Oreochromis niloticus: one gene and its partner. The protein of the gene in region 2 binds, or shares a complex with, the protein of the main gene of each other region. Links are inferred from orthologs where the notes say so. Each region holds a gene or a part of one and is shown on either strand. Other genes may lie near its edges. The genes, in order: vrk1 and phf2.

Region 1 (16,226 bases), on a different chromosome or scaffold from region 2:
AACCCATCAGCAGGAACAATATCTGTTTCTTTATGCGAGGAGGAACACGAAGAGCACTATATAAGAGCCGTCCAGAAGGTTACTGGTGTGAGTGTCTCTGACAAAACAATCAAGACCTCAAGACTCGACATCCTCTAGCAGGCCATGTGATCACTACCCAGCATCATGGAGCCTGAGTGGCATCGGCCATAATACCAGAGTTGGCATTTCATCAAACCATGTGGCATCGCTTCATTCTGAACACGCCCCTATGACCACAACAATCTGAAAAGACAGGCGACCCCGAGGTGTTGGCAGAGGGGAATGTGAGCAGTCCCTGGAGTGGACATCAAATGTGTAATATATATGAGCCTACACACTAACCCTTCTGCTCGACCATAAAGACAGCTGGAGGCTGGACACTAACCGAGAAGAAAGTAAACTGGTGGATCAGATAATGCGGAGGATTGGTAACTACAAAAGAACTACATATTATATAGTTCATAAATATGAACTGGACACCAATGATGCCTAAAACCATGGGACAATTACTCCTATCATCACCAAACAAAGTTAGAAATAATTATCATGAACCGACAGTTGTTCAATTCTTAGTCGACTAAATGAGGAAAATAATTAGACGGTAAGTCAAAGTTGTACACCCCCACAGTCTCGATCTCAAATACTGCATTTTCTTGCTTCCCTCTTGAAACAAGTAGGAGCGCTGACCTTGGTGGGAGGCGACGCTGCTCCATTGACAGAGGTGAACTCCAGCTTGCCGTCCTCTTTAGCACCGATGGTCTTCAGTCCAGCCTGTAGGATAGAGCGCAGCTTGTCGTAGGGTGGTTTGGCTGTGTAGCCCAGAGATTTCACCTCCTCCATGAACCGCTGTATCTCATCTGCAACACAATGAGAAGCCCGTTCATCAGAACCCTCACACCTTCTTGCTCATTCGAAACCATCAGGTCATCCATGATAGTTCTTTTTAATCAAACACTTCATAAACCAAGACATAACTTAAACACAAGCTTTCCCCCCCCACACACTGTTGTCACCATAGTGTGTTGCATTCAGATGTCAACGTCAGGCTAAATGTTGTGTGGTGGGACTTTCTTCAGACTTGGCACGCACACAGATGGAGCAGTAAACAATAGTTTGCTCGTGCTCAGCACAGCAGAAGGACGGAGGTGCGACGACTCTGAACCGACATGCTGCCTTCCGGTCAAAGCACTAACATTAAAAGGCAACTTTTAGCACAGTTGGGCAACAATGTTGCCATTTACTGCCGCAGCTTGTGGCCTGTACTTCTATCCCAGTGAGAGGTCAGGTGGTCACTGCTCAAAGGCAGGAATTACATCATGTTAAAAACACATGAGAGCAGCCAGGAACGGACGAAATGAATCAATTCACACTTTACTAATCATGCTGCTGTAACACACAAACCTTATCAAAGAACACTAACAGTACTGATCATAGCTGACAACACAACTCCAAGGAAACTTAAACTCCTTAAAGACTGTTAAAATAATGGAAAGGTAAAATGTTCGACTAATCATGAACTTGATATGATTTGAGGTCACAGCAGTTTCAGACTGTGGGATTATGCAGGGCATTGTGGTTTTCACAACCAGATTAAAACATTAGTATTCATGATGTGACAAGTGTAGAAAGTCTACAGTATATGAATAATACGGTGAGGCACATCAGTGTGAAACAGCTCAGCGCTGCTCCATCGTAGCCACAGAGCCTCCGCTGTGAGTCTGTCTCACCTGGTTTGTCTTGAGAGGAGAAACACTTGGCCATGAACTCTGTTATGTTTTTCTTGACTCCTGCAGGTGAAAACGTTAGACAACTTTCTTTAATACACATCAATCTGTGTGAACTGTACAACACACAACAAAAAATGTAAAAAAATAAAAAAGTATTGTAGAATTGTATAAATGGCAAAGTGTTGCTGACTGTGGAGCACCCAGGCTGGGTACTGTGTTTCTCATACCGGATCTTGGAGTCTCTGACGTACAGCGGGTCCTGCAACTTGTCCTCCCAGGGGAGCCGACCACACAGCCACTGAACCATGCAGTAGGACAGGATCTCCAGGTCGCTGCGCCTGGACACGGCTGTTAGCAAACACGATGTACGTGGCAACATTAGCAATATCAGACACTTATGTACAGAATACCATTCAGGTTATTTCCATGTTGTATGAGATGAGGAATATCAATCAGTATCAGTCTTGTTCTTTGGCATACTTTAGCTTGAGTAACAACGTCTGTGGCTGAACACACAGTAGACTCAGTACTACGACTGTGGCCCCAAAGGCAAGTCAGTCCCAGCCCACTGCCGTGTTAAAGTGCTCTGACTGTACAGGAAACAGCGCAGCTGTTCCAAACTGTCCTCACTAAAATGGTTTGAAATCTGTTCACATTGATGTTCCTGTTCATGGTTAAAAACACCAGATCCTGCTGACACTTTCAGATTACCACTCTGGTTTTGTACGCCATGTTGGGCGTCATGACTACTCGCGTACGTTTGCACCTACATGCTCCTTTGTGGCAGTCGATGCTTGTGAACTCGATGGTACCATCGTGACATTTCTTGGGGTCTTCCTTGTACTCCTTGGGCCGACCTTCAGGTGCGTACCTATAGGCCAGTCCATAATCTACTAAGTAAACCTACAGTTGACAAACACAAAGATTCAGGCATGCACACACATACACAGTACTTTATACTAATCCATGTTTTACCAGTGTTCACTGACTGTACACAGACACGGGTCAGGATGAAGGAGAGCAGGAGAACACACGATTTCAATTCTAATTCCAGCTCCATAGCACTTTATTATTATTCCTCAGTTTGCATTGTGCTTATATTCTCTGTGGCTTTAATAAAGAAATGTAGAGCAATAAAAGCAAACCTACATTCACCAACTCCGAGGAAGAGCAGGAAAAACAACCAGAGCCAATATTAAAATCCTGAGGGGCTGATTTCTAAATTGTCATTTATAAAAAGCTCCTTAATAACACCACCGATGATACATTATTAATCTCCAAATTAAATATTTGCCCCTGCCCCCACCTTATTTGCAGCTCTGTGCTCCTGCCATCTAATCTCCCCCGTCTGAACACTCTCGCTTCACCTCCCCCCGTCGCAAAAGCCTAATTGAATCTAATGAAGCGGTGCGAGTGTGTTCCAACCAAAACCAGGCTCCTCCTCCTGCTGATGCACGGGTCACAGCGGCACTTTGTAAACAGTCATAGTTTCAGTCAGCACGCTACAACTCCAACTGACCTGGTTAGGATCGCTGTGACTCAACATGAGGTTAGACGCCTTCACATCAGCGTGCACGTACTCGTGCTCGTGGATGTACTCCAGAGTATCCAGCTGCACAGAAACAAATACTCCATCAAATACAGAGTACAGATACATCTGTAATGTAGCAAGACCCTAGTACAAAGTAATCACACTAGATGGTTTAAATATAATGTGCCGTTTGGCCACACAAGAAGCTGCTCAGCCCGTCATCACCTCACTGAGCAGCAGTCACGTAAAGCCAAACCTGTGATCACATTAGAAGGATTTTATTAACAGTAACTTGATTCATTACGTTCAGTTTCAGAACATAAACATTTGTCATTTTTAGAGGGGAATGTAGCCAGGCTGAGCACCAGAGAGCACAGAGGTGAGTCTGACCAGAAACAAAGTTTCACTTCCTCCACATAGATCTTAATAAACTAGAGCGAACAGGGAGACGCGCTCCTATAAAAGAAGAGGCAGCGTGGGATTTCTAACAAGAAAAAGTCATAGTAAAAGGCTATTTTACAGTCTATCCAGTGTCATTGTGACAAATCTTACTGGACTGTGTAAACAAATTACTTCATTGTTGGCATTTTCAGGCAAACAAAGGATTTTCGATCGGAAGCACAGGTGCAGGAAATCTGCTGATGACGTTCGCTTTTCCGTAAAGCGGTGTCAGATTACACACACAGTTTCAGCAGCTTACTTTAAAACTCTACCTGAGCAGAAACAATCATTCCAGGATGAACCGGAGAATGCTTCTGACCCACAATCATTAAAACAACTGAAAATACACTTTTGTTTCTTTTTGGGAAAACCCATTTCCTCCCCTGTGCATCACTAACTCTGAGGATGAAACCACTTGTTATTCAATCCTCATCATCAGTTATTTTCAGTTTGCGTACAACGTTCATCCTCAGGATGTTGGTCATTCCCCATCACACATTCTCTTTCCTGTGATCACCGTGACCTGCTGTTTACAATGTAAGTGTTTCAAACTGAAACAACTTCATCATGACATAACCAACCAGTCGAAGGCCGAGCTGCAGGACCAGCTTTCTGGGAAATCTCCTTCCACATTCCTCAAATTTCTTCTGCAGGTCTGTGCCAAGTCTGTCGATGACCATGAACCTGTAACTGGTTGGTACAGAGAGCTGTGTTAGCAGAGCGTCAGAAAGGCTGCAGCTTTACCTGTTACTGTGAGGACAACAAAGCTGTTTCACTTTACTTCTTATTTGGTGTTTTGGTTTATCTAGCTTCCATTAAGACATTAACACACAAAAAAAATTAATAAAATATTAAAAAGTTAGTTGTAAAAGGTGTAAACAGGGAGATTAGCTTAAATATCTGAGTTACATAAGTGCACAGAGGAAGTCAGGAGGTGTGATGGAAGGGCTGACGATAGCGCTAACTATGTGACCCAGGCGGGACCAAAGCTGATGCCTTATTAGGCCACGGGGGGGGGGGGGGGGGGGCTCCCTTATGAAACCAGTAATAAGTGCTACTACTGAGAACCACTACATGGTATCAGGCAGTGCCAAAGTAATCCACTGAATGAGTCAGAGTGAGGTCTGTTATAAAAGGCAGAGACCTGAGCTGGGCAGGGAAAACAGAAGCTCTAATCAGCGTAATCATGCCCACCTCTCCTTTAAAACTGCGTGTGTAGCCATGTGACTCCATCCAATGTGCAACATGCAAACATCATGGAGGAAAGGTCAAACACAGAGTTGATGCACAGCTCGAGCTGCTTGCACCAAATATAACTGCTGAGTCTGTAGTTTGAACACATTTCTCACATGTCAACAAAAGAAGAACCTGAACAACTGAATGTCACATAGATGGAGGAGAGATGGGCTGCATCATTACAAACTGAGATTTGTCCCCAGCACTCCCACCCTTACCTTTGACCCCCTCTCTCATGTCGACCTGAGCCCCAGTACCGGGGCACGCCCAGGTTTTTCAGCTTCTTGGACTTCATCCAACTCTGAACTGCAGGGCAAGAGTAAACTTATCAGACACGTACATATTTGACTAAAGTGAGCTTTTAATGTGTGCATACATGAAATCAACAACACAGGAAGTAAACTCTGAAAAGCCTGGTGCTGGTTTAAGTGGGTGATGGATGTGAGACTCAAAGTAATAAGAGTATAATTCAGTGGGGGAAAGTGGCCAATATGGCCGCGAGCTAATCTGCTGCTGGGACAAATATTTACCAACAACGTGAGACTCCAGCATGAATAAAATATGAGGCTTTGGTTCCTTAGTCATATAACAGTTAATCGTCAGGGGAGACTGACATTTGGATTGTTATTATATAAAATGCAAAGCGGTGGCCCGAGGGCCGGCGGCGCTGCCACCAAACGCTTCCTTTCCTTTGTAGGGCTCCTCTGAGCCCCGGCTACAACACCATCTTTTAATTAAGAAACTTGCCTCTCTTTTTATTTGTTTGCCCTGCTGGTGAGACTCTTGTGTTATGATCGCAGGGCTAACTTTGGTTTGCTGACAGTATGAGTGTATTTATAGTGTCTGATCATGTGACTCACTGAGATCCGGCTTGGCAGCTCTCATGTAAAATGCGAGCTCGCAGAAAAGCGGTCCATTGTCAATAGGCTCCTGTGGACAGAACAACAGGTACATTAGGTCTGCAGACCCACAACAGCACACTGGGTTGTTGTTTTCACCCTTAACAGGCAGGAAAAAAAACGAAACACAATTTTCTTCTGTTTAAACATTTAAAAAACAAACAAACAAACAAACAAACAAACAAAACTGCAAAAACTGGTTGTGTGTTTATGTGTTTGTGTGTTTAAATCCAGGTTCACAGACTGTTACATCTCTGACAGTTAGGAGCAGGGCAGCCCCACCAATCGGTCGTGCTGCAGTTTGAATAAAAATATTTAAAATATTCAATAAAAATGTTGAATAGCTTCCATCCACAGTTTGTTTCAGACAGTGACAGCACAAATAATTAGAGTTAAAGTTAGAATAAACACTGTATAGGAAGACCTTTACATTTGGCCCACAACAGCCATCACGTCACTTTTTAACAGCAACACCTGCAGCGTGCAGATGTGAGCCTGCAGTGGGCTACAGCACAGTGGATCTGACGGCGCTTTTCTGTCCGGTCTCTCCTCACATCTCGACAACGATTTGAACCAAAAAACGTAAAATTAGGATTCATCGCTCCCTCAAATGTTGCCACTGATTTTCAGTTCAGATGTTGGGTAATGTGGCATCCCCACGCTTTTCCTCCCCGTTTCTCCTCCTTAAGAATAGAAACAGGGAAACAGTCACAGTGCAGAAAGTGCCTTATTGGCTGCAACGTTTGCACTGTGATCACTTCTGGTGAGACTTTAGTGACCAGCAACTGGACAGAGCCATCTGACAGGTCCAGGGTCAAGGCCTCAATATATATGCTGTGCTGGCTGCATCACTGCAGTTAGTGAACAAATAAATAAATCAGACAATTCTCAGAGAGTCAAATGGGAGAGACTTTGAGCCTGATGAGTCTGCACATTCGAGCAGAAAAGCAAGTCAAACAAGTCCTGTCAGTATGTGAATTATTTCTGGACTTAATCCAATGAACTTATGTTGCCAATTAAGTCTTAACTTTTGATGGGCTTAACTAAGGTGGAAGTGTTATAGAATAAAAATTGATATGTCATAAAATACAAAGTACTTCAGGTTGAGTTGGCTTTTGTAGCTACTTTTCTGTGAATAAAGAAAAAAGTATGTAAAGAGTAATAATGCCTGGACTGGAACAAACTTAGTCCTACCACTTTGATGACATAGCGAGCATCAGCACCCACAGGCTTTGCAGAATTTTCCTCCGCTGGGGAAAACATAAGAGGGAATATGTTCATTATTTACAGTATTTGGTTGACACATGCTTAAAATCTTTATTAACTTCTATTAAATATAAAGTTTGCAACTCAAACTCAGATGTTAACTAGAACTAAAATACAAATAACATTGTCTTTTATTTTACCATGACTGTGTCACTAGCATCCTGTGTTCTTACCCAAGTATATGACACCAAAGCCCCCTTGACCGATCGGAGCCCCCAGCTTCCATTCCTTCTTCATGGTGTCCTTCAGCACTTCTCCAGGAGGAAACTCCTCTGCCAGTTTCCTCTTGGCAGGGGCTCTGCCTCTGCCTGCCGCCTTGGCTTTAGGGGGCATCTAACACACACACAGCCACGGTGGTTGTTAGTGCTGCTTCATCGTGATGGAAGCAGAACTCCAAAATAAAACTAAGCTAAACATCGTTGTAAACACAACAAGAAATGGAAAATTGTACTTTTTGGGTCACATTAGAACTATGTTTTTATCTGTACCGAAGTTAGCTAACCACATCCCGAGTTCCCCATCACCTGCTAATGTGTGCAGCCTATACGAGACACTTCCCTAACACGAACCGCCTGTTAGCATGTGGGTTAAAACCAACAGAAAGAGAAACAGTAAAGTGATGGCGTCGTGCGAATCCTGCACCTTTAGCGGTTCTTTCGAGGCTCGTTAGCTCTCATGCTAACTGCGTGGTTTTGTGAGTAACCGTGTGTCACATTAGCGCCTACATGATCTGCTACATGACGCCGTCCAACAGCAAACGCTGTACCCGAGTACCTGTGATTGGTTCCGTTAGTATACAGATATATACATCTATGACAAAAACATACCGTCACTTCGTTGTTTATGCTTCCCTGTAGCAGAAACTGTGCATGGACCAAACTTCCCGCAAAACTACCGGTCAGGAAGTTACGTCACCGTACCGCGCTATTTTATAGAGATTGACAGACCACGTGACTTTCGCGCATTGCATGTTGGGTACCCGTGGCAACAAAATCAAAACACTGCATCAAGCGGTAGCATTTCCAGCACCGGTAATCATTAATTCTGCGGTTTTAATCCCTACTAGCATTTTATTTGCCCCAAAAACAGTTATGTACAAAACGAGGGAGAACACGGCAGGTCCGTACAAAGACAGACTTGACGAAAAGACAACAACAAAAAAAAGGACGAGGAAAAAATCAAAGGAGTGAAAGGGTCAGACCCGTACCAGCATACAGAGCGGAGTAAGGACGTCAGCGTGCTGCCCAACTTTCATCACGCACATATTTATTATTATATGGTCCTAAGTGTGAGTGCAGACACTCACATGATGTTTAGTAACTCAGATCCCTGCAACAAGCCCAGGTCCAGTTTACTTTGGTGATTTGGACTATTCCATTTCACAGCTGTTGTTACATTCTTTTCCTTTATCTCCTGTACAGGCAAACGCATCTATTTGTTGTTTCAGGTTGTAGTATTACACAACATTTTCAGATCTAATAGAAATAACATGAGTGTTTCGTAATTCATTCAATTTATTGTCTTTATTTCTAACTGGCATTATTGTTTCATTCTATTATAGAATCTTACAAGAAGGAGGCAAAATTGTAAAAATCCATCATGCTTTATTAGCTGTTTCGGTGAAAAACAACAATGCAAAACAACATACTGGAAAACAGTTATTCATCACTTGATTGCTTCAATACAACCCTTGGGCACATATATGCGGGACGTTTCGTGGCTGTTTTGATATCGCTCTCTCTCTTAACCGATCAAATCTGGCTGTGGTAGCAGCTTTAAACTCGGTCTGACCCAGGGTGATAGAGGGTGCAAAACACATGAAAACACATTTTCAATGAGATTGAAAATGTGACGTCAGTGAAAACACATGAAAACACATTTTCAATGAGATTGAAAATGTGACGTCAGTGAAAACACATGAAAACACATTTTCAATGAGATTGAAAATGTGACGTCATTCCGGGGTGAAACCGCAAAGGATTCTGGGAATGCTAGGCAAGCGGTACTAGCGCACGCAGGCTTTCACATGAAAACAGTCACAAAACACAAAAAATGGCAAGAAGCTGTTGTATTATTAACTGCAATAGCCGGTCGCATGACAGCCATGGGAAGCCAACGGGTAAAGAGATTGTTTTTTATCGGATTACGTCGTGGAAGAGAAATTGTTCAAGCCATGTTTCCGAAGTAACAAAGAGTAACAAAGAGCCGACGGATGACCTGGAGCGGGGGAAGTCGCTGCTTCACTACTGTGTGAACAGCGATGTAGGCCACATACGGCCCACGTTGAACTGTCCTTTTTGTTTATTGTAAAGAAGTTTAAATACACATTTAATCCCTGCGATATCTTAATATATGAAAGATATAATATAAAAATATTTTAAACATGTCTTAATATAAGAAAAAGTTTTCAACAGCAAGTCTATGTTCTGCATTTCTGCTGCAGTACATGAAAGAAATCTGCCAACATGACTCCTGTGGGTTCAGTTCTAATAAATAAATATGATCCGATAGCTCAGACTGTCCTGTAAATATAAAGCAGAAAGTTTTTGTTAATTTACAGAAAATGCCTTTTTTTTTAAAATGTGGAACCATCATCCATTCATCCATTATCTTCTGCTTATCCTCGATTGGGCAGGTCTTCAGTACATGATCAACTATCAGAGCTGTGTTATTAATTTCTTATTGTTTTATTATCAAACCATGGACTAATATGTCTTATTGTGCCATTTAGTTAAGTCTGAAGGCTTTTGGAAAAAAACACACATTCTGTAAATTTATTTAATTTTGTAAAGTATAGACTTTTACCTTGATGTTGAGGTGTTGTCATCATTTTTATACATAGCACCGCATTTTCAGATCCTCAAAAGTATTTGGAAAAAACAACAACAGTTCAATGTTAGGGCTTGTGTGTAATACTTTGCAGTCAATAACTCCCTAAGGTGTAGAACCATGAGTTTTGTGATTGCTTAAGTCAGTAAAAGGTCATGCAAAATCACTTTTTGTCTTTATAATAATGAAAACATCTTCACCACACCCAGTTTATAGGCACTGCAGATATATTAGAGTAAAACACAGGCCGTGCAGTTCATAGTTCAGATTGTATATATTTACACCTAAGTGATTAAATATATATGCTTTTGTCTCCATGCACCATAATGTTGTGTCCCACACATCCAGCTACACCAGTACTGCTTCATCATAGCAAGGCATCTGGGAGAAACAGAAGGGAAAAAGTCATATTTCCTTGGTTAAGAAGAGCATTCATTGATTTCATTACTGACACTGTATCGCCCAATCAAAAGTCTTAATACCTCTCCCCTACTTTCATTATGTGCCTGTATAGCAGACTTTACTGTGGAAGAAGTGGATGATAAAGATGAACAAACAAAAATGAAAAGGTGGCACTAAAAAGCTAAGAGAGAAGACAAAACTACAAAAAGATGCAGCAAAATGTGTCTAATTAAGTGACTTGTTATCTGTCGTGGCTGCTGCATCGTCAACAGTAGTAACAGCAACAACTAGTAACAAGTGCTCACAGGCTGAAGAAGCTACTGCTGCTAGTGCTGCTAGTTCCCTGTGTGGAGAAGTGCAGCAGTCCTAACTGCTATGGGCTTGAAGTTGGCCTCAAGTGTTGTCACATCCCCATTGAGTTCCTGATGAAGGCATTCCAGGATCCAGGTGTGAGGAGTCATAGGCCTTCTTGTAATCAATCCAGGCAGAGCACAGGTTGGTCAGCCTAGTCTTGCAGCCTCGTCTGACTGTTCTTTCTACTAGTCAAATCAAATCAAATCACTTTTATTGTCACGTCACATGTGCAGGTACACTGGTACAGTACATGCGAGTGAAATTCTTGTGTGCGAGCTTCACAAGCAACAGAGTTGTGCAAAAATACAATAACATAAGAACAAGCAAAATATAAGAATGGCTAAATCTGAGAGTAATAAATATATGTACAATATAAGAGTATATCCATTACTGGATGTGTATACTAAATATGTTTTTCTACATGTGTGTGTGTGTGTGTGTGTGTGTATACATATTTTACAAATTAAATAGATTAAACAATAAAATAAAATATATAAAATATACAGAGGTTGGTAGTTGAGACATGTACAAAACAAGTGGCATTTATATACAGTATGGAGTGCATAATGTTGTTGAATGTGGGTGAGGTGTCTATGACGTGTTCAGCAGTCTGATGGCCTGGTGGAAAAAGCTGTCTCTCAGTCTGCTGGTACGGGACCGGATGCTGCAGAACCTCCTTCCTGATGGAAGTAGTCTGAACAGTTTATGGCTGGGGTGACTGGAGTCCTTGATGATCCTCCCCGCTTTCCTCAGGCACCGCTTCCTGTAGATGTCTTGGAGGGAGGGAAGCTCACCTCCAATTATCCGTTCAGCACACCGCACTACTCTCTGGAGAGCTTTGCGGTTGTAGGCGGTGCTGTTGCCGTACCAGGTGGTGATGCATCCAGTGAGGATGCTCTCAATGGCACAGCGATAGAAGGTCCTGAGGATGCGGGGGCTCATGCCGAATCTTTTCAGTCTCCTGAGAAAGAAGAGGCGCTGCTGCGCCTTCTTCACTGTTTTGTTTGTGTGTACCGACCACGTAAGATCCTCAGCCAGATGTACACCAAGGAAGCGGAAGCTGCTCACTCTCTCCACAGCAGCGCCGTTGATGGTGATGGGGGTGTGTACTTCTCTGCACCTCCGGAAGTCCACTATCAACTCCTTTGTCTTTGCGACGTTGAGGGTGAGATGGTTGTCTTGACACCAGTGGGTCAGGGCGCTGACCTCCTCCCTGTAGGCCGTCTCATCACCGTTGGTGATAAGACCCACCACTGTAGTGTCGTCCGCAAACTTCACAATGATGTTGGAGTTTCTAGTGGCCGTGCAGTCGTAGGTGTAGAGTGAGTACAGGAGAGGGCTCAGTACACACCCCTGTGGAGCACCAGTGTTCAGTGTGATGGGGGATGAGGTGATGCTGCCCAGTCTGACTACTTGGCATCTGTCAGTCAGGAAGTTAAGGATCCAGCTGCAGAGGGAGCTGCTCAGTCCTAGATCCTGCAGTTTCCTGTCCAGCTTCGAGGGAACGATGGTGTTGAATGCTGAGCTGTAATCTACAAACAGCATTCTCACATACGTGTCTCTCTTCTCCAGGTGTGACAGGGCAGCATGGAGTGTCAGGGCTATGGCATCATCAGTGGACCTGTTGTGGTGGTATGCGAATTGTAGAGGGTCCAGTGAGTTGGGTAGTGAAGAGCAAACAAAATCCCTGATCAGCTTCTCGAAGCATTTGCTCACGATGGGGGTCAGGGCTACAAGTCGCCAGTCGTTCAATGATGAGATGGTGGAGGATTTGGGTACAGGGACGATGGTGGCCATTTAGAAGCAGGCTGGGACTACAGACAGAGAGAGGGAAAGGTTGAAGATGTGTGTAAACACTCCAGCCAGCTGAGCCGCGCATGACTTGAGGACGCGGCCGGGGATCCCATCCGGACCAGTAGCTTTGCGTGCGTTCACCTTCCTGAAGCACTTCCGCACATCCTCCTCAGACACAGTGTGTGCACTGACGTCATCCGCGGTGCGCACACTGTCCGGTCTCATGGTGTTCGCTGTGTTGAATCTAGTGTAGAATACGTTTAGATCCTCACACAGAGAGGCCGTGGTCTGCGGTGTGCTGGTTTTCCCTCTAAAGTCTGCGATTGTGTTTAGTCCCTGCCACATACTCCGAGGGTTGAATTGAATTGAATTGATTGATTGAATTGATATACCTTTATTAGTCCCACAAGGGGGAAATTTCATAAGGCTGCCGACCTATTGCACGCAATGGCGGCGCCATCTTACCCTCCGACCATACATACATTACACAAAACATCACATGGGGAAGACAGGTCAGAGAGGTATACATGGAAAAGCACAACATGAGGAAAGATAAGGAGAAAAAAATAACTCCCCCCAGACTGAGCTCCAACAGGGAGATCAGTTTGAGAACAGAAAAAAACACCTCTGCACATGAAAAAACTCTTAATACACCAAAGAAACACATGACAAGCAACAGGGGTGGGTAAAGGGTGAGAGACAGCCAATGTAGACAGTACATCCGGGCCTGCAGCCTATGCGCTGGTCTCCATGATCCACCGTCAGCATCGGAAGGGAATAAGCGTCGAAGGCGTTTGGAAAGGGAGGGGGGATGAGTGTGTGCATATCAGTGTATATGTATGTGTGTGCGTGTCCAGAGTTCAGCTGAGACAGTGTCCTTCGCCCTGCCAGGCTAAGTAAACAGTCTTCCAGCCAACCCAGGTGGCCTTGCATAGGATAGGAAGGAACAGACTAAACATAGTCTGTAATCAGGGTGTTGTTGTACAGCTCCAGCCTTGCAACCGCAGCTGGCGCTGAGAAGGTATCCGCATGAAGTGAAGGTGCTTTTTACTTTAGTGCGAACAACTCATATGAATTTCAAAGCAGTTCTACAGTCCAACACTGGTCTCTCAATCTCCCGTTGGAGAGCCGCGAGCTTCGCCATACTTGCGTTCTGTGAGGTTGTCATTCTTGTGCTCAAGGAGCCGATTCTGAAAAACTCACGACAGTGTGCCTCCCCGAGATGTCATCCAATTTACGCTCAGAGATGTTATGCCGAGCGAGCCCTTCCGAGATGTAATCCAGTCTGCACTCAGAGATCTTATTCTGAGTATTCACAGCAGCCGTAGCCTTTCCAAGATCTTATCCGTGCTGCACTCAATGAGCCCATTTTGAGAAACTCACGCCTCGTCCCATCATTTCAATCCCAGCGGGCAGCCTTGTGGGGGTTTGAACAGCCGGTTCCGCTTCCTTAATTCTTCGATAAGCCAGGGCCAAGCCAGCTCCGATCAGCAAGAACCCTGTTATCATGGTTCCGAATAGGTAGAAATCTTCAGCAGTCAGGCTCACCCAAGCCCAAACTTCTCGTTAAGAAAGGGGTGTCAATTGCATTCAGAGACCAGTTGATCAAATCCATAATTCCTCTTTTAGGTTTTAGAAAACAGACTGTGAGAGATTGTTCCAGGGAAAAGTCATACAAAAAACACAAGACTAGACAAGGACATAAGAGGCTAAGCAGGGAAGCTAAGGGAGAGGAGGAGGAGGAGAGGAGAAAAATGCGACCGCCTTCGTCAAGAGCGGTCGCATTTGTCAAACTGTTGCTCCACCCTGTCCCTGTACTCATGTTTGGCTGCTTTGATCGTCTTCCGGAGTTGGTAATGTGCGTGTTTGTAGTCCGATGTGTTCGCGGAGGCAAAGGCGGAGCTCCGTGCTGCCAGTGCCGTGCGAACATCTCTGTTAATCCAGGGTTTTTGATTTGGGAAGGATTTAACTGTTCTGGATGGGACGACATCTTCCACGCATTTTCTGATAAATCCGCAGACTGAGTCCGTGTACTCATCAATGTCATTAGCAGCCACGTGAAACATTTCCCAGTCCGCGTGATCAAAACAGTCCCGCAGCGTAGACTCCGATTGGTCCAACCAACGGTGCACCGCCCTCAGTAGCTGGTGTTTTGCGCCTCTGGTATTCTTGCCCATCCCTTTCTGTGCCCCATTCATGTATTGAGCCATGTGCCTGTTCATCTTAGCCGCTATGATGCCTGACAGGAGCTTCCATGTGATGCTGAGGCAGGTTATTGGTTGGTAGTTGGAGGGGACCGGTCCCTTCCCGGGAAGAAGCTGTTCTTTAGTCTGTTGGTTTTGCACCTGATGGATCTGAACCTTTTTCCAGAGGTAGGATGTTGAAGAGGTGGTGGTTAGGATGGAGGTGGTCCTTTATAATTGCTCTGGCTCTGGAGAGACATCTTGAGCTGGAAATTAAGTCCAGGTAGGAGAGTGGACAGCCAATCACCTTCTCTACAGTTCTTATGACCCTCTGTAGTCTCTTCTTGTCAGCTGTTGTGCAACCAGTGTACCACACAGTAGAAGAAGCTTCACCAGGGCTGATGTGTTTGTGGTCCAAGATAGGTCCTCAGATATGTGGGTGCCGAGGAACTTAATAGAGGATACCCTCTCCACATAGTCACTTTTATGGAGAGGGGAGGGGCATCCATTCTTGTTTTGTTGGTGTTTAGGGTGAGTTGGCCTGTTCTACAGTTATGCTCTGTCCAGGTCCTTGACAGATTGTTGTGCTGTAGCTCTGTCACACTTTACTGTACTTAGCACAATAATTAGAGTGGCTGCTGCACTTTAGCTGTTTATTTGCAATTCTATTAAGAGAATTGTGTGTTTCTAAGAAATGTTCTCTGTAAGAAAAAATTACTCCAATGAAAAGTTCATTCTTGTAACTGTAACCCTTGAAAAACCATCATTAGAGAAGCTTAGTGGGGGCTGCTGTAGAGACGAAGGTTTCACGTGTTTCAGTGGCTGTTGCAGTGTGTTGTGTCAGGTTGGCTGTGATACACCAGACTGTTGTCTCTGAACTGTCTCCACAAACTGCTGCTTCTGTTCTTTGTTTGTTTTATTCTGTCTTTTAAACATTATCAGACAGTTTACAGAGACAGACACTTCAGTGGGAAACTCAACCAAAGTATTTAGATAACTAAGAATATTTGATCAAACGTGGTTACCTCGGTAACTTACCTGTGTTTGTCTTATCCAGAACAACCCTGAATTTTGTAAATGAATCTGAATAGGTATGTAAATGTGCAGAGCCTTACCTGTTTTCAGTGTGTCATTTGATCCAAACATATTGGGTAACAGTGCACAGCTCATGAATAAGATATTGGTTCTTCAGTGTCTTGTGTTTCCGAGCGCCACAGACTGAAGACGTTTCACGTTCACGAGGGTACATCGTCACTACTTCACTCTTTTATATTACCAGAAGTACTTCAGTAGCTGCTGTCACAGCTCCATGGATAGCATGTAACGTGACCGGCGCTGGACTAACCATTGGCCTTCTATTACAATAGAGCGCTCCATGCTGCAGTCCTAAAGTAAAGAGAGGCGATGACCAACTGCAGTGATGATGATGATGAGCAGAACGATGACAGCTCAGGACAGCCCAGAATGAAACCAAAGAGGACAAGTAAAGGAGGAAAGCATGTGTGCTTCCCTCCGGACGAACAGCTAGTGTCCAGCTTTGCTG
Region 2 (16,872 bases):
CTGAAAAGCCTTCAGTTAATCCAAAATGCTGCAGCAAGAGTCCTGACAGGGACTAGAAAGAGAGAGCAGATTTCTCCTGTTTTGGCTTCCCTCCATTGGCTCCCTGTTAAATCCAGAATTGAATTCAAAATCCTGCTCCTCACATATAAGGTCTTGAATAGGAAGGCTCCGTCTTATCTTAATGTCCATATCACCCCATTAGAGCTGCAGTCTGCTCTCAGACTGCAGCTTTACTTGTGATTCCTACTATATTTAAAGGTAGAATTGGAGGCATAGCTTTCAGCTGTCAGAGCCCTCTTCCAGGTTCCAATTTGGATTCAGGAGACAGACACTGTCTCTTTACTTTTAAGATCAGGCTTAAAACTTTCCTTTTTGCTAGAGCATATAGTTAGGGCTGGATCAGGTGACCGTGAATCCTCCCTTATTATGCTGGAATTGGTCTAGGCTGCTGGGGGATTCCATTGAGTGTTTCTTCTCCAGTCACCTTTCTCACTCACTATGTGTTTATAAACCTCTCTGCATTTAATCATTAATTAATTATTTAATCATTCATCTTTGGCTCTCTTCCACAGCATGTCTTTTGTTCAGTCTTCCTCCCCTCAGCCCCCATCTTGTCGTGGCAGATGGCCCCGCCCCTCTCTGAGCCTCATTCTGCTGGAGGTTTCTTCCTGTTAAAAGGGAGTTTTTCCTTCCCGCTGTTGCCAAAGTGCTTGCTCATAGGGGATCATATGTTTTCTGTTTTCTTTATATATATATATTTATATTATTGGAGGGTCTACCTTACAATATAAAGCACCTTGAGGCAACTGTTGTTGTTATCCGGTGCTGTATAAATAAAAGTGAATTGAATTGAACAGTAATATACTGGAATGATGTGAGTCTTGAATGACAGATGAGACAATGAGATCTAACTCATATTATTCCTGCTCTTGCCTCACTCCTTCCACAACTGTCATTTACGTCTGTGGTGTCAGAGCTGCAATTAAATCTTAAATGTTCTGTCACCTGCATGCTCAGCAAATTTCCTCAGGCTTTTACTATGAAGCAGTTGCAGGATGTATTGATTTGGCTTGTGTTATGCGCAAGACTTGCTGACAACTGTTTCTGTACTATGCAAGTCCCCATACATCCAGCTATGTAAAGCCGGTGAGCTGTAGTCCTGTTTTAACTCTCTGTTTAGCTTTAATAGAGCATTTATTTTACCACAGTCAATCCAGCAGTAAGAAGTTCATATAAAGCTATTGTACAGCAACTCCCCAGTACCCAGTGTGGCCAGAAGGGGCCTTCCCCTGTGGCTAGTGTGGGAATGACACATAATGCAACTGTGGTTCTAAGCAATGACCACAGCTAACCATGGTTTTAGTTAAAGCTTTAACACAGTCAACCCCAGGACGCACTGATGAAGCCATTCTGTGAAAGAAGACATATAGTGTAGTGTTGCTACACTTTTATATCATAAAGCAAATCTTTACAGGTGGCATGTTCTTGAAATCAAGTCTCCATCACCAGCTCGCAGAATCTCTTTTCTTACAGTGCATCTAAATATATAAACATATATTTTTATTAGGTAAAGTGTCTGCCGCCGTGAGGATAACATCTATCTAATAAGCAGAATAATATTTTGTGTCTTGTTCCATATAATAAGTCACACTGAACATCGTCCAACAAATTGCAGATTTGCTGCAGGGCATGTTATATATTTCAATAAGTTAAATAAAGCTCAAAGTCATCAAAACCTGCTTTTAGTCTTGAGACTTGTTTGCTCTGAGGAAAACTGCAACCATTTGGGCACCAGTTTAGCTTAGTGGGTCAGCAGGCTGCTACATACCACATGACCAGAAAGCAGCGGCACAGGTTTGAGTCTGACCCGGCGCCTTTTGCTGCATCTTCCCAACTCTCTCCCTCTCCGCTTTCCTGTCTATCTCCACTGTTCCTATCCAATAAAGGCAAAATGCCAAAAACAATTATATATAAAATTTCAATCATTTAAAAAAAGGGAAAGAGATGGATTTCAAGGGCATTGGAGGGCTGTGTAAAGTCGGTGTGTGCCAAGGCAGGGAGGAATGATTAAATATGATAAGTACATGTATATACAATCATGTTGGCTAATAAGTAATTGCTATTAATTCATCAGATTTCAAGAAGCTGCAGATAGTTGCTAAATTATCAAGTTGCCATACATTCTTTATTTAATTTATAATGCTACTTTATGCTTCACACTGCTGAAGCTCCTAACTCATTTTCAATGCTCTGTGTTCAATGACAAAGATCTAATCAGAAAATGTTTTTTAAAAAGTTGGCAAATAATTATTTGATGTCCTGCTGAATTTGTAAGTTTGCTCACTTACAAAGAAATGAACAGTCTATTTTTTATTGTGGCTTTATTTGAATGGAGAGAGACAAAATATCCACTTAAAAATCCATAAAAAACACATTACATAAAAGTTATAACATGATTTGCATGTCATTAAGTGAAAAAAGCATTAGAGTAATTGGTGAAAACAGTAAGAACATGTCTTGTCATCAGGCTTCTACATATCTCTGGAAGGATTTCGCCGCTCTTCTCCTGTGTTAGACTCTGTAAATCCTTTAGGTTGCTTGGCTGCTGCTTGGCAACTCAAAGCTTCAACTCCCTCCACAGATTGTCTATAGGATTGAGGTCTGCAGACTAGCTCTGCCACTCCGTGACCTTAATGTGCTTCTTCTTTAGCCACTCCTTTATTGCCTTGGTAGTACCCATCTGTGACCCATCTTCAGTGCAGAGGGAAGGAGGTGCACGTCCAGGACTTTACATTACATTGACTCGTCCACTGACTTCTTAATGCGGTGAAGTCATCCTGAGCCCTAAGCAGAAAAACAGCCCCAAAGCACTTGACAGTTGGTATAGTATTCTTTGTGTCATACTCTGCATTTCTCTTCTTCCAACGCTGATGGGCTGAGTTCGTTTCATCTAACCATAGTACTTAGATTGATAGCACTGAATCATTGAAATGTTCACTGGCACAGGTTCACTGGCACAGGTTCACTGGCACAGGTTCACTGGCACAGGTTCACAGGCGTGTACATGGGCCTTCTTGAGTGAGGGGAACCTTGCAGGCACCGAGAGACTTCAGTCCATCCTCATGAGGCAAGATCTTGTATGGCGCTCCAGACTGAGGGCAATAGATGGTCATTTCATATTTCTTCCACTGTCAAATAATCGCACCAACAGTTGTCACCTTCTCACCAAGCGTCTTGCTTCCAGGCTCGTGCAGGTCTACATCTTGTCCCTGATGTCCTGATAGCTCTTTGGTCTTGAGCTGGTGGTGGAGAGGTTGGAATGGAAGAAATTGATTCTGTGGACAGGTGTGCTTTATACACATAAGCTGAGGTCAGGAGTATCTGTAATTGATTGATTGATTGTAATCTGTGTGCCCATGTGGCATACAACCAATCCTTCTGGATCAAATACTTATTTCACTCAATGGCATGAAAATCAGTTTATAACTTTTATGTGACATGCTTTTTTCTGGATTTTTGGTTGCTAGTCTGTCTCTTTCCATCAAAATGACAATACCATAAAATTTGAGACTGTTTGTGTTTATAAGTGGCCAAACTTACAAAGCTATTTCCCCCACTGTAAACACAAACACATGATATCCCTTTTCCTTTCCCTAACCCTTTCCTGATTTCTTTCCATTTGTTTAAGATTGTCATACTAATTTAAACATTAGACAATGATAACACAAGTAAATACAAAATGCAGTTTAAAGGAAAAATGATATCCAAATCTACCTGGTCCTGTGTGATAAAGTAAATGCCTCCTATATCTCATCACCAATTGTGCAACCATTGGTAGCGAGAACTCCAATCAAGCATTTGCAATGACTGACAATGAGTCTTTCACAACGCTTTGCCTCACTTTTCTTTGTAGAGTTGGTTTAATTCAGCCACATTGGAGGTTTTTCAAGCATGAAGGACCTATTTAAGGTCATGGCAAAGCATGTCGACAGGACTTAAGTTGGACTTTTACTAAGCCACTGTGTATTTTTGATCTTTGTCCTGCTGCACAACCCAGCTTCATGGAAAGAACTGATGACACTCTCCTTCTAGATTTTCTGGTAAAGAGCAGAACTACACTACCATCACACTACCACCACTATGACTGATATGATGTTCGCATGATGTTCTTTTTATGAAATGCTGTGTTAGTTTTATGCCAAACATCCAAAACCCAAACTTTTGTCTTTTCACTCCACTGACACTATCTGAGGTAAGTGACCTTCTGGATGACCTGTCGATACACTCATGGAGTAATTCTTGTAGGCCAAAGACACACATGTGTTACGGATGTCCCTGCTGATTGCTTTGCTACTTGTTTAAACACACTTTAAATAGACAAAGTTCAACATTGTCCAAACAAATACACTGTGTGTATTTTAGTGGCTATATGAAACCATTAATTATCTTCCCTGTTAAACAATTCATGTTTTAAATGTCGCTCAGTTATGTAACACTTTGCGCTGTGTATAACTTTGCAAACACACACAGTGTCAGATTAGTTTTTAAAGTCTAGCTAACCCCAGCAATGCTAGCAGCCCTAGCCTTGGTTTCTTCAGTGCTGGTGTCCACACATCTTGGTGCAGAATGTGGTTACACCTGGTTTCAGTTGCTTAGCCTTATTCCAGTTTGACTGCGTAAAGTAGAATAGAATAGCGCTAGTTAAGACGGCTGTCCTCTGTTTACTTTCCCTCTGCTCATTTACAACTTCACTACACCATGTAAATGCAGCTGTATGGTTAATGCCAGTGTTTCACTCATTCACACGCATTAACTCACCATGGCTGCTGGTCAACGTACAAATTCAAAGTAAAGAACGTTTTTTTACTAATTACCACAAGCATAAAGTGAATTCATGCAGCGCCAAAATAACTGCAAACGTCTTTTCAAGTGAGAAGAACAACTGCTCAAAATTGTAATAAGGTAATATATAATATGTATTACAGTATTAGTTTAAACATCATTTACCAATACCTGATAACAAGTCAAAACAAAACAAATATTTTGTTAAGACAGCTTTTGTTACAATTTGACGGACTTTAAATACATAAATGTTGGTGTTAAGCAACATATCAGTTGTCTTGGAAAGGAATGGCCTTGTATATTTATATAGCATTTATTAGTCTTACTTACTCAGAATGTCACAATACCAAACATTTTGTAGTCAGCACCAGTACAAAGAGAATTAGATGATTTCAGCCATAATTATTTATTAAAAAGTGATTTAAGCCACTGACATGGTGTTGATAGACCATTTGTTTAAAATGTTAACATTATATTCAGTTGACAGAACATAGACTGAGATGTTAGGATGATTGACAGGCAGCCTACTGACATTCCTATAAGACAACATTAGTTACGTCATGTTAGCTTCAGCATTTATATAATGTTAGCCACTGCAAACATTTTAGCCTTTGGATCACAACTGATTTTACAACAGCAATGACAAGTGTCTCAGACAAAGTGGTAAAATGTATTTCGTGATAACAACACAAACTACTTCCTGAAATAACTCTTACGGCCCTTCTTATCATTAAGTCAGGGCAGAGTTATTGTGGCAGCTGCACTAGTTGCAATCTTTTGCTTATAGTTTTTGCTGTTCAGTGTGTTGTTTTTTCTGTGCTGGTGGGCATGTTGCATTTTCAGAATGTTGGTATTCTTTTATTCTACATACTTGAACACTCGTCTAGTTCACATCCATGGGTAAGAAAACCCATGCAAGCACAGTGCAAAGATACAAACTGTAAACAGAAAGGACCTAACTGAGGTTTGAACCAGTTATTTTTCACTGTAACAACATGTGTTCTAAATCTTTATTTTTACTTTTTTTTCTCTTTTATCTAACAACTGGTCACCATCTCCTGAGAAAAATATTCCAACTACTGCTTTTTGGATAAGGCATCACCAGCTAGCTTTGTCACTAACTGTGGGTTTATTGTAGCTTATTTGTTGAAAACAGCTGCTTGCTTTTTGTATAAAGGGTTGATAAGTGCAGTGAGACTGAAGCCAGGTGGTAAACTGAGCTCCCACGAGTATTAATAATGAACTAACACAGACTAAACCAGTGGCTAAAAAGGTACCTTCCTCAATAAAGGCACTTTTATTATAAGGTTGATTTTTTTAAAAAAGTTGCCATTTTAAAAATTCAACAAGTCCAAGGCTAACTAACTTGGTTTTGTTCATTTAACATGAAGATAAAACAGAAATGTACAGTGAAAACCAGACAGTGTGGTTTTAGGAGCAGTTAGCGTTTGAACTGTTTCCTGATCAACAACAGCTGGGTGCCATGACTGCAAGCAGCATCTCCAAAACGCTGTCCTGAACACTGCAGTGACTCAACTGTGGCCCAAACCAAAATGACTACAGGATATAAAAACGAATGCATAAAGGTTGTAGGAAAGTAGAGTGTTGTCAGACATGGCAAAGCTAGGCTGCTGCAGCTCTTTGTAGAACTATTGTTTCTGACTCTAACAGCCAATGTATATGTGATACCTATACATGTATGGATCACCATGTGTACAAGTCCCTGAGGATTCAGTGATCACTTAGAGGATAATGATTAGATTTTGTTTCTGTTACATCACATCATGACGTGTGGACTCATGCTAAGACTGTGAATCATAATTATATTGATGATACATGTGAACTTAACACATCCGCTCCTAACAACTGAACATGCACATGAATATTATTTTAAAATGCAAGTATTTATCAGCGGTCTATCGCTAATATTAATTTGCGAAGAAATGCATTACGCGGTCCAACATTTGTTAAATTTTTAAAGGGAACCTGATGTGTATAACCTGATTTATTCCTCATGATGGTCCACCTCAGGGGCCTGAATAATTGGAGTGCCAATGTACGGTGTGTGCACATCCACTTTAAATATACTTATGGTTTGAAAAATGCAGTTGCTCTATTTTTATCAGGATCAAAAACTTACAGAATGTGACAGGTAAGTGAAAATGTGAGATGCAGGTAATAACAGAAGCAGAAATACGATGTTTCTGGTTAAAAAGGGGGTGTGGGGAGAAAACATGAATTTTGCTGGTGGTTTGGCTTGTAGGTCTTGGACTATTCCCATCCCTTAATTCTCGAATGATTTAGACAGTGTGACACAGACGGTGGGCAGCCGGCGGAGGAACATTAAAGGGTTAACGTTCAGGCGCGTAAATACTGTTCAATGCTCTGAAGGGCTTGTTCACCGAAAGAAACGCGATTAACAAATGACGGGTTAACAAAAAGACAGGCAGAGAGCAGCCGAACAGCTCTAAACACCCCAAAGCAAAGGCCAGTCCAGACACAGACTCGTGTAAGAACAGATATAACGACAGCAGGCAAAAACGAAAAGATGATAACTGGGATTTGGTTGAGACCATTACAGTGTGTGTACGGCAGGGAAAGTGATGAGCAGCGGCGGGCGATACGTTTCGCACTATACTCGGGGAGACGTATGAGCTAACAATCGTAGTCTACAGTAGTGACAAACCAGTCAAACGAATACTAATAATTATTTCCCTTCCGCTGCTGAAGCTTAAGGACATCCAGCACGGGCTATTGTCAGCCATAGCTGCCGCCTGGCAGGAAGGCTGCGGGGCTGAGTTCGGGAAGCTCGGACTCGAGTCGTGATTTTCCACCGCGCTCGGTTAACACGGCCGGTGAAAACTGGAGCGACTCGAATGTGAGAATATTTCACAGCAATACGGGCGAAATGTTGCCCTTAACGTGTCTGGAAGGACGAGCATTTGTCACAAAAATGAGCGGCGAGTTTGCGGAGGCTTCCACCGCTGTCGTCCGCTCCTTACAACGGGAAGGCAGGCTGGGGCTATGCGGGGATGTTAAAGAGCCGTTAAGTGCAATTAATAGCCGAAGCTCACACCAAAATCCTCCCATAAACCACCGTATTTATTCCAATAAGGGAAATCTGTTTTGTGTTATTCGCGAAAAAATGTCACAACCCCGGTCGGCTATATATAACTCCGCCTTCTTCTTCTTCTCCAAGCGGCCTCTCTTCAGATGTAGACGGGCGACTGAGAGCCACAAAGCTGTCAAACGCAACCGAGACCTCGCCATTTTTGTTTGTTTCCCACAAATGCAAACCGCCCCAAAATACAGTACGGGGAACAATCGGGACTTACCTGCCGTGGAACCAGTCCTTGCAAGCATCGCACTCGATCATAAACTGGGTCACGTCGTAAGGTAATCTGCAGATGCAATATACTGGTACAGTCGCCATGTTCAATTCACAACTACGTCGGGATAGACTGGGGGGGCTGCAGGAGGAACAACGTCCTGCAAACAATATGATCCAATATGATCTTCCCCAGAAAAAAAGCCAGGGGCAGTCCCGCCGGACACATGAACCTAAGCGCACAGCTCCATCACGCCGCGGCCGGGTTGGCGTTTGTGCGGGGAGCTAGAAACGATGGAGGCTCGTCGTAGCAGGCTTTCCTCAAATGCATTATTATTGTTATTATTACTATGTGCATGCCCCCTGGTGACTGCGCGGCACCGAAGCGCTCATATTAGGAGCCACAAGAAAATGTAGTCTCGATGTCGCTGCGAGGTAAATAAATAAACAAATGTAAGTTACGTCAGGGAGCAGCTTTAGATCCGATGAATGAGCGTAAAGATCGATCTAAAATGGACCTGCGGATGTTTTTTCCCTGTAGTGGAACGCTCAAATGCCGAGAAATAAACGCTTTCTGTTCCCAGACAGTTTATTGTTAATCGATGAATACAATTTAAATACCGTGTTCATAGCCTCCATTAGGAAAGATATAATTGTTTAATTATTACATAATCTGTTATTACGAGATTACACACTATTTCTCTACATCATGATATCCTCTCTATAATACAGTTGTTGTTGTTGTTATTAGTATTATTATTATTTTTACTACATTTCATGTATTTGGAATTTAATAATAATAATAATAATAATAATAATACAATTGCTATTAATAATAATAATACAATCATAAAAATATTTCAACATCATCTCAGCAAAACAGAATCGAAATCAAATGACATTTTGTAATAAGGTAGTTGAACTATAAACTTACGAGAACAGCTGATTCCATGTTAGACACATGTTGCATTCTTCACAAGTCCACTGCGCTTGCTGGCTGATTGATAGAAAACCAGCATGAGGTTTTGTCCATGACACCAAATCTCGGTCTGCACGGTTTTATGTATTAAACAAGCCATTTTGCAGTGGTGTGAAAAAAAGTTTTCTCTATGCAGCCTCACCTCTATGAAAGCAGAAGAAATTCACCCCCAATCAAACCATGTAATCTTCAGGGAAATTGCAAAAAAACCCCGCTACAGTTAGCATGTTAAACATGTTACATTTAGAAAAAGACCAAACAACTATGGCTTGTCTGAAAGCCTCTTGTCTCTAAAGAGAACATGGCAACATGGCTTTGGTTTGCAAAGTTGCATCTGAAGAAACCAAAAGATTACTGAAATAATGTCCTTTGGATAGACAAGACCAAAGCGAAGAAGTTTGCCCAAAAATCCAACACAGCATATCAGCATAAATACTGCATACCATCTGAAAAGCACAGTGGTGGGGATGGGGTGATGATTTGAGCTCGTCGTGCAGTCACAGGAACTGGGCACCTTGAAGACATTGAGTTGACCATAAACTCCTTTGTATACCAAAGTGCTTAAGCATCAAATATGAGGCCGTCTGTCCAAAACCTAAAGCTTGGTTGAAGCTGAGTCATGCAACAATACAGTGATGTCAAGCACAAATCTGCAACAGAATGGCTGGAAAACAAAAGAATCAAGGTGTTGCAGTAACCCAAAGTCAAAAACTCAGCCAAACTGAAATGCTGTGATGGCACCCTAAGAGAGCGGTATATAAATCAATGCCATCAAACGCCAATGAAATGAAGCAAGGTTGTAAAGAAGAGTGGGGCAAAATTTCTCAAGAACGATGTGAGAGACTGATAATGGCATACAGAAAATAATTACTTGTTTTTGCTAAAGTGCTTCTACGAGCTACTAAATCATGGGATGTGTACTAAGGTTTTTCCATAGAGTCCAAAGAAAACTTCCTTTTTCTTACAGCTGTAACTTCTCTCTCTCTCTCCCTCTCTCTCTCTCTCGAAGGCCACCCTACCTTTATCCGGTCTTTAAGTCTGACATCATTAGCCGTTTCCAGGTCCAAACTCTGCTTCAGGTCCCAAAGTCAAACGGACACTGCGGCATCAGAGAGTTAAAAACTGTCTAAATTCTTTCATCTTTAATAAAATGATAACTGTGGCTGATCTACCAGGTGTAACAATAAAGTTTAACATCCAGGCATCCATGAAAACAGAAAGCATGAAGTTTAACGGAGTTAGAAGTTAGCACGAAACTAGCTCGCTAGTTTCAATCTAAAGCTGATACAGCATGTTCTGACTGAGAGATTTCAGAAACAATTCAAACAGACAGCTCTGCTATTATATACTGATGGTATATAATGATGTGCTATGTGGTGGCTAGCTACACAGCTATGGTTAACATAACATAAACACAGTGAAGCTGGAGGATGAACGCCAACTTTTTTCCATTCGATAAAAGTTAACGTGAGGGTTCCCGATGGTTAGGGACAAATGCAATCGCATGGCAGGATGCTGTAAACGGACCAAACTTCAGTCAGGAGAACAACTGAGATAATCCATCCACAATACCAGGTTAGTCATTAATATACTGCTGCATGGGCTGGGCTGTAGTTACATCGGAAGGTTTTAAAAACTGAGGTTTAAAACATGCTGCAGATGAATAGTGATAATAAAAACCGAGAGAGACCGACAGTGATCACTGACTTTTTTTAGGGGCTTGGTTCAGATTAAATAGAACAAGATACAAAGCTTTAACACATGTTAAAAACACATCAGCCTTAATAAATGCAGAGTAGTTTGGACCCGGAAGCAGGATTCATCAGGTCATCACTTAAAGACTGAATGACAACTTTGTTTGACACACAGAGCTGTGTGGGAGATGACCACAGTTTGCGGTCTCTTCTCTTTCACCCAACAAGTAGTTGCAGCATACGGCTGCACCTCCCCAGGTCTATTTCTGACAGAGGTTTCTTCCTGTTAAAAGGGAGTTCTTCCTCCCCACAGTTGCCAAGTGCTCACTCTCTGTTCACTTTCTAATATTGTGGGCATTTTTGGATCACATGGTAAATACACTGACCTTATTATTTGAAACTTTGGCCATGTTTAATATGATCATCCACTGCAGGACAGTATATGTATGATAGATAATAAGGTAAAGTACAATAGGCAGCTTCATCCTGGGCATCATCCATTCTCTCTGTGGTACCCAGCTCTCTTCCCTCCTATGATGTTGGGAGGTGGGGGAGTAAGAAGTGTGATATTGCACCACTATTCTTGTGCCACTAGCTTGCTAGCTTTTGCACTGTATCTGCTTAGCCTCGCAGAAGACAGGCAATGGGTGTAGGTGCAGAATCTTTCTTTTGACTGTCATTTGGATATAAAAAAATAAAAATTCTTGCAAAGTTAGCAGCCCACCACATTGTTATGACTACATGTCCCAGTGTTAAGAGAGATCAATAAACCACCAACAGTGTGTACTAAAAGAATATAGTTTTATTAAGCATTGTAGCTAAGTTGCTTTCAAGTACACCACACCAAAATCTACGAACATTCAACCAAACCCATCAGCAGTTCATTCTTTTACAATCCAAGAGTTAGGCGGAAACTCTGATCAACTTACACAGAAGGTAACCCATTTAGCTCTTGCGAGGGGGACTGGGGGAGGAGATTACACCATTTCTCCAATCACTAGTGGTAGATGAAAAGCTTTGGCAGTATTAAGTGAAAACATGAAATGATGATTCTGGTGAAGAGGAATTACAAGTGTATAAATAACACTAAAGGAAATCTCCCTAATGATTACTGGTTAATGGCCAAAGTTTTGATTTAAAGGTGGAGCACGCTGCCTTTTAGCTACACAAAGGGTGAGCTTCATTTTTTTGACTAAAACAGGAAAGAGTAACAGAACAATATAGTATGAATACACTACTCCAAAGTGGCTAAATAACTTTTTTTTTTTAATGCAACAGAGGTCAATATCACAAGAAGATTCCAGGTTAGAACAACTACTTTTTTGGACTTTTGTTGGTATTAGACGTTTCATTAATTTGTAATTGGGCACCGGGAAGAATGGAAGAAAAAGGACAGCATGCATAATAACTACACACTGGTTAGACTGCGAACCATGCAGAAGATTTCTATCAAAGTGGTAACACTACAGCTCTACATCTTCGAGTACAGCTCAAAACCCCAATTCAAGTTTTCTTTTTTTGCGTGTGTGATTCGAGAGCTGTTTCTCGAGGCGTTACTTACAGTTAAATAAGCGAAACAGCGCGAAGCTCATGTCTAGTGAGGGACAGAGCTGTTTAAACATGAACACAACTCAAAGTGGTGATGGAAGCACAAGATTATGCCTCACTTGTTTCACTGAGCGGTTACAATGATAACACAAAATCCATACCTGCAACACGGTAAGTACTAGAAGCAGGTCAAACATAGATGAACTCATATTTTCAAATTAAAGCGTCTTCAAGCAGTAACCTTCTGATTTGAAGTGACAAGGGAGTGAGTGACTCCACGTTACCGGTGTTAGGATCTCGTGTGTTTAGAGAGAGGGATCCGAATTACATCTCGTTTCTTTGTGTGAAAAGAAAAAAGTACAATGAATGTAAGCTTTCCATATTTCCATGTGTTCCTAACCTTGCTCCATGTTTCATCCTTCACCCTCTCTAGAAAAATAGGTTTAATCTTCTGTTGAGACAGTGGCCTCTAGACCTTCATCTCTATGGCAGCCACTGTCTACATTTAGTGCATTTAAGTGAGGATTAGTATTGCACGTCTTGGAGTCACTGCTAAAGGCACTTTCAGGTTGGATGAGAGCCCCACATTCCTCTCTCTCTCCATTCAGCTGCTCTGGCTCCTTGTCCTCCACACCGTTCTCCATGGCTAAGCTCTCACCGTGCTGTGCAGGGGAGGATTTCTTTTCCTCCTGCTTGGGCTTCTTTTGGTCCTTCACTAGGTTGTTTCCAGATGTTTGAGCAGGCTTGTAAGCAGGCTTGCTCTGGTAGACAGACAGAAAAAATGACGGTGAGGGTTGCAGACTTTATCATCCACCCATTTTTTTCTATTTATTGCCATTTGGACATGCTGCCTATGCAACATGTCCAAAAGGCAAAGCTCTAAACAGGAGAAGTGTAGGGACAAAATGCATGGATTACACTCCATCTGAAAGGTAACACTGTCTGCAACTTAAACTAGTTATGCTAGAAGAGAAAGCTCAGCAGCTCGCAGTCATGTAGCTTGCATAAAATATAGCAAAGCTAGAAAGGGAACACGATTGGCTACAGTGACTTAAAATCTTTTAGGAAAAAACAGCCATTTGGTTCTTTGATCTTTAGACTCTTACAGACTAAACGGATAGAAATAACTGAGGTACATAATCTGACTGCTTCAAAAGTGAAGTCAACCCGTGTTTATATATTGTATTTTGCCTAACGTGTTGTCAATGATGCACACTGACACTTGTGAAATGAAGCAAGCTGTTAAGTTTTGCACAGTCCAATGGCTCTAACCACGTGAAACATCTCCATATTGAGAAAGGTTTAAATACTATAAACTGCTTTCAAATAGATTAAGCAAGTAGAGCCTGTGGTGTGATGGTCATCAGCTATAATATGATATTTTTTAAAAGCTGTAGATTTCTTAGTTTGGTAGGTTAAAAAAACATCTCACCATTGTTGTTTATACTGGATTTATATAGTGCCTGTTCACACCAATGGTCATCTAAAGAAGAGCCTATAATATTAAGAGAGGGAGCAATCCAATGATCACCTGCACATGGCAAAGGTAGGGAGGAAAAACTCCCTTTTAACAGAAAGTGGTCTCTAACAGAACTAGACTGCAGACAAACAGCCATCTGCCACGGCTGGAGAGAGAAATATGGAGTACAGAGAGACCAAGAGAGGTGAGGAAGATCGATTTTGGAGACAGTGGCCCTGACAAAAAGACAGGAGGCCAAGCTGAAGACATTAAGATTTTCATCGGGAGTGACAGTTCAGGAAGTGAAGGAGGACATACAGCGCGGTGGTGTGACAGGAGCAGAATGATACGGACAGGCTGAGATGGAAGCAGGTGATTGGCTATGGCGCCCCCTAAAGGGAGCAGCCAAAAGAGAGACCAAGAGCAAAACGCAAACTATAAGATAGAGAAGATATCTAAAAGAAATCAGCAGTTTTTGTGAGTACTTGGACTACATGCATAAACTTCAACAACAGAAGTGCTGAAAACAGATTTGTTGGTCTTCAGAAGATTGTCATTTTATTTCAGCATTTTTCTACTCTTTACTCAGAAAATATCAGACAGAAAATATCACTGCCATTGTTTCTTTTAGATGATAACAGTCAAATACAGCCTTTTTTATACTGGTAGAAATGATGGTAGTAGATGTTAGATGGCAGAAGGCACTGTGCACACAAAGTGATGACCTTCATAGGTCAGAAAATATCTGAAACATTGAGAAACACCGAAACAATGTAATTAACTCGTGTGTTTTCAATGGTGTGATACAGTAGAAGAGGACATTTAGAGCTTATTAAGACCCACATGTTACAAAAGTCAGGACTCTTTGAAAATCATGTGCAGCATAGCGAAATGCATTTGTGGGTTGGAAGTCCTGCCAACAAACAAAAGGACTCAAGAGTTATTTAGAAGTTAATTAGCAGCAAAATGAAGCCCAGAGACATGCAGGGAGCCTGTTTAGTTCCCTCTCATGTTCCCATGCTGAAAGCTCACACAATGGTTGTGTTCTGGTTTTGCACCATAATTAAACAGTGGAAAAACCAACAGCTGCATCGGGATTTTTGTGAGGTACCTTCCTGGGAAAGCAAACTACAGGCTGAGCTTCAATTTAGGGATTATTAATTTCTCTGGTACCAAAATCCACGTGTGACAAACACTGTGAGAATTTCAGACACTAATGATCATCTTGAAGATTAAAGCTTCAAATGGTCGATGATGGTCAATAACCAATGATGGCAAAAGTGGGTTTAGGGGTTAGTCACTATTGCTTTGGTCAGTATTTTAAACTAGATTAACACAATTACTTATTAATGTAAACATTCAGGTTTCAAACTCATAAACAAACCTTTACACTGGACTGTAGTGCAGTGTGTCCTTCAAAAAGATGAGAAAACTGAAAGCAGACAGAGATCTAGCAGTGGCCTGACAGTGGCCTCAGCAGAAGGGTGGCTGTCAAGAAGCCATTCTTAATTAAAGGAAACAGGACGAAATGCTGGGCTTTGCCACATTACACAAGAGCTGGACTGAAAATGTGGCAACAGGTCTGATGGAGTGATGAATGAAATGTGAAATTTTGGCCTCAAATCGCTGCCTGTATGTATGGAGGTCAGAGGGGAACCGTTAGGTCCATACATATTTGGACAGAAAACTTTTTTTCTAATTGTGGTTCTGTACATTACCACAATGATGAAGTGCTGACCTTCAGCTTTAATTCAGTGGGTTGAACAAAAAGATCTTAACACAATCCCTTCATTTCAGATGCTCAAAAGCAACAGGACAGATTGAATAACTGAAAATAAAATGTTCATTTCTAGCACTTGGTTGAAAACTCTTTGCTGGCAATGACAGCCTGAAGTCTTGAACTCATGGATGAACTCAGATGTTGGGCTTCCTCCTTTTTAATGCTCTGTTGCTGTTACTGCAGCGGCTTTCAGTTGCTGTCTTGTTTGCGAGCCTTTGTGTCTGAAGTTTAGTCTTCAGCAAGTGAAATACTCTGTTGGGTTAAGATCAGGTGACTGACTCGGCCATTCAAGAATATTCCACTCCTTTACTTTAATAAACTCCTGGGTTGATTTGGCTGTATGTTTGGGTCATTGTAAATCTGTGTTATGAAACGCTGCCCAATCAATTTGACTCCATTTAGCTGGATTTGAGCAGACAGTACGTGTCTGAACCCCTCTGTATCCTCCTGTGCTACATCATCAGTAAACACTAGTGTCCCAGTGCCACTAACAGCCATGCACACTGCCTCTGCTGTGTTTTACAGATGATGCGGTATGCTTTGGATCATGAGCTGTTCCACACCTTCTCCATACTTTTGTTTTTTTTCTTCAACTCCAGGCCTTTTATCTGCTTAACTGATAATGACATGACAAAGGAAATGCCCACAACCGCCAGTGAAATAGCTCTTTGAGTCAACTGTCCAATTACATTTGGTCCCTTTAAAAAGAGGGTGGCACATGTTAAGGAGCTGAAACTCCTAAACCCTTCATCCAATTTGAATGTGGATACCCTCAAATGCTGAGAGTCTGCACATTATGTCGATAATATAACTATAGCTGGAACATGTTTCAGTAAACAGGTGTCAGTGTCCAAATATAACTGTACAACAGTTAGTGTCTGTCTGTTGTGCTGGGGATCCTGTCTGGATCGATGGAATCATGAATCCAGAGCAGTGTTATTGTTTCTTTCATAGATAATGTTTTATTCTGCGCAGTCCCTCCAAATAAAATAAAATCATGACTGACTTACCAGGTACGTTCCCTGGCTCTTGAAGGTTCGGGCATGGTACCGTCCTCCCCGATCAAACGTCCTTATGAGCGGTGTAGAAATCACGCCTCTTGGACGACTGCAAGAAACAGACATTTCCACTGTAGATTCATTTTAATTTGCTGTTTTTGCCACATTTTGAATCTCTACGTGAAAAACAAGTAGTTTTTACATGTGCTTATAGAAAGGAAGGCTTAGAATTTATGTGCTTCAC

What was found.
Region 1: the proteins of phf2 (region 2) and vrk1 are in contact, whole or in part, in a crystal structure (PDB 8F8Y), measured with the Homo sapiens proteins. The link is inferred for Oreochromis niloticus from reciprocal best matches to the Homo sapiens genes PHF2 and VRK1. Residues at the interface, in NP_005383.3 of Homo sapiens: Tyr7, Tyr14, Val16, Thr17, Arg18, Phe19, Met20, Ile21, Glu22, Trp29, Glu39, Ala42, Ile45, Asp46, Tyr48, Lys64, Tyr145, Ser147, Glu150, Lys175, Val178, Asp179, Tyr182, Ser183, Thr184; in NP_003375.1 of Homo sapiens: Pro2, Arg3, Val4, Lys5, Ala6, Ala7, Gln8.

The regions. Positions count from the first base shown.
Region 1 is NC_031983.2:1,341,716-1,357,941, reverse strand, and holds the start of vrk1 (serine/threonine-protein kinase VRK1), read right to left. Parts: upstream 8,099-16,226; 5' UTR 7,949-8,098; intron 7,455-7,948; coding exon 7,295-7,454; intron 7,106-7,294; coding exon 7,050-7,105; intron 5,887-7,049; coding exon 5,817-5,886; intron 5,263-5,816; coding exon 5,175-5,262; intron 4,411-5,174; coding exon 4,302-4,410; intron 3,361-4,301; coding exon 3,268-3,360; intron 2,652-3,267; coding exon 2,519-2,651; intron 2,097-2,518; coding exon 1,976-2,096; intron 1,832-1,975; coding exon 1,749-1,831; intron 879-1,748; coding exon 709-878; intron 1-708. Other genes in the region: si:dkey-288a3.2 (protein phosphatase 1 regulatory subunit 37), read left to right, coding at 16,088-16,226. UniProt on the Homo sapiens protein: Serine/threonine kinase involved in the regulation of key cellular processes including the cell cycle, nuclear condensation, transcription regulation, and DNA damage response.
Region 2 is NC_031970.2:37,168,804-37,185,675, reverse strand, and holds the start of phf2 (lysine-specific demethylase phf2), read right to left. Parts: upstream 8,655-16,872; 5' UTR 8,276-8,654; coding exon 8,178-8,275; intron 1-8,177. Other genes in the region: constitutive coactivator of PPAR-gamma-like protein 1 homolog, read right to left, coding at 12,835-13,152, 16,641-16,737. UniProt on the Homo sapiens protein: Lysine demethylase that demethylates both histones and non-histone proteins. Enzymatically inactive by itself, and becomes active following phosphorylation by PKA: forms a complex with ARID5B and mediates demethylation of methylated ARID5B.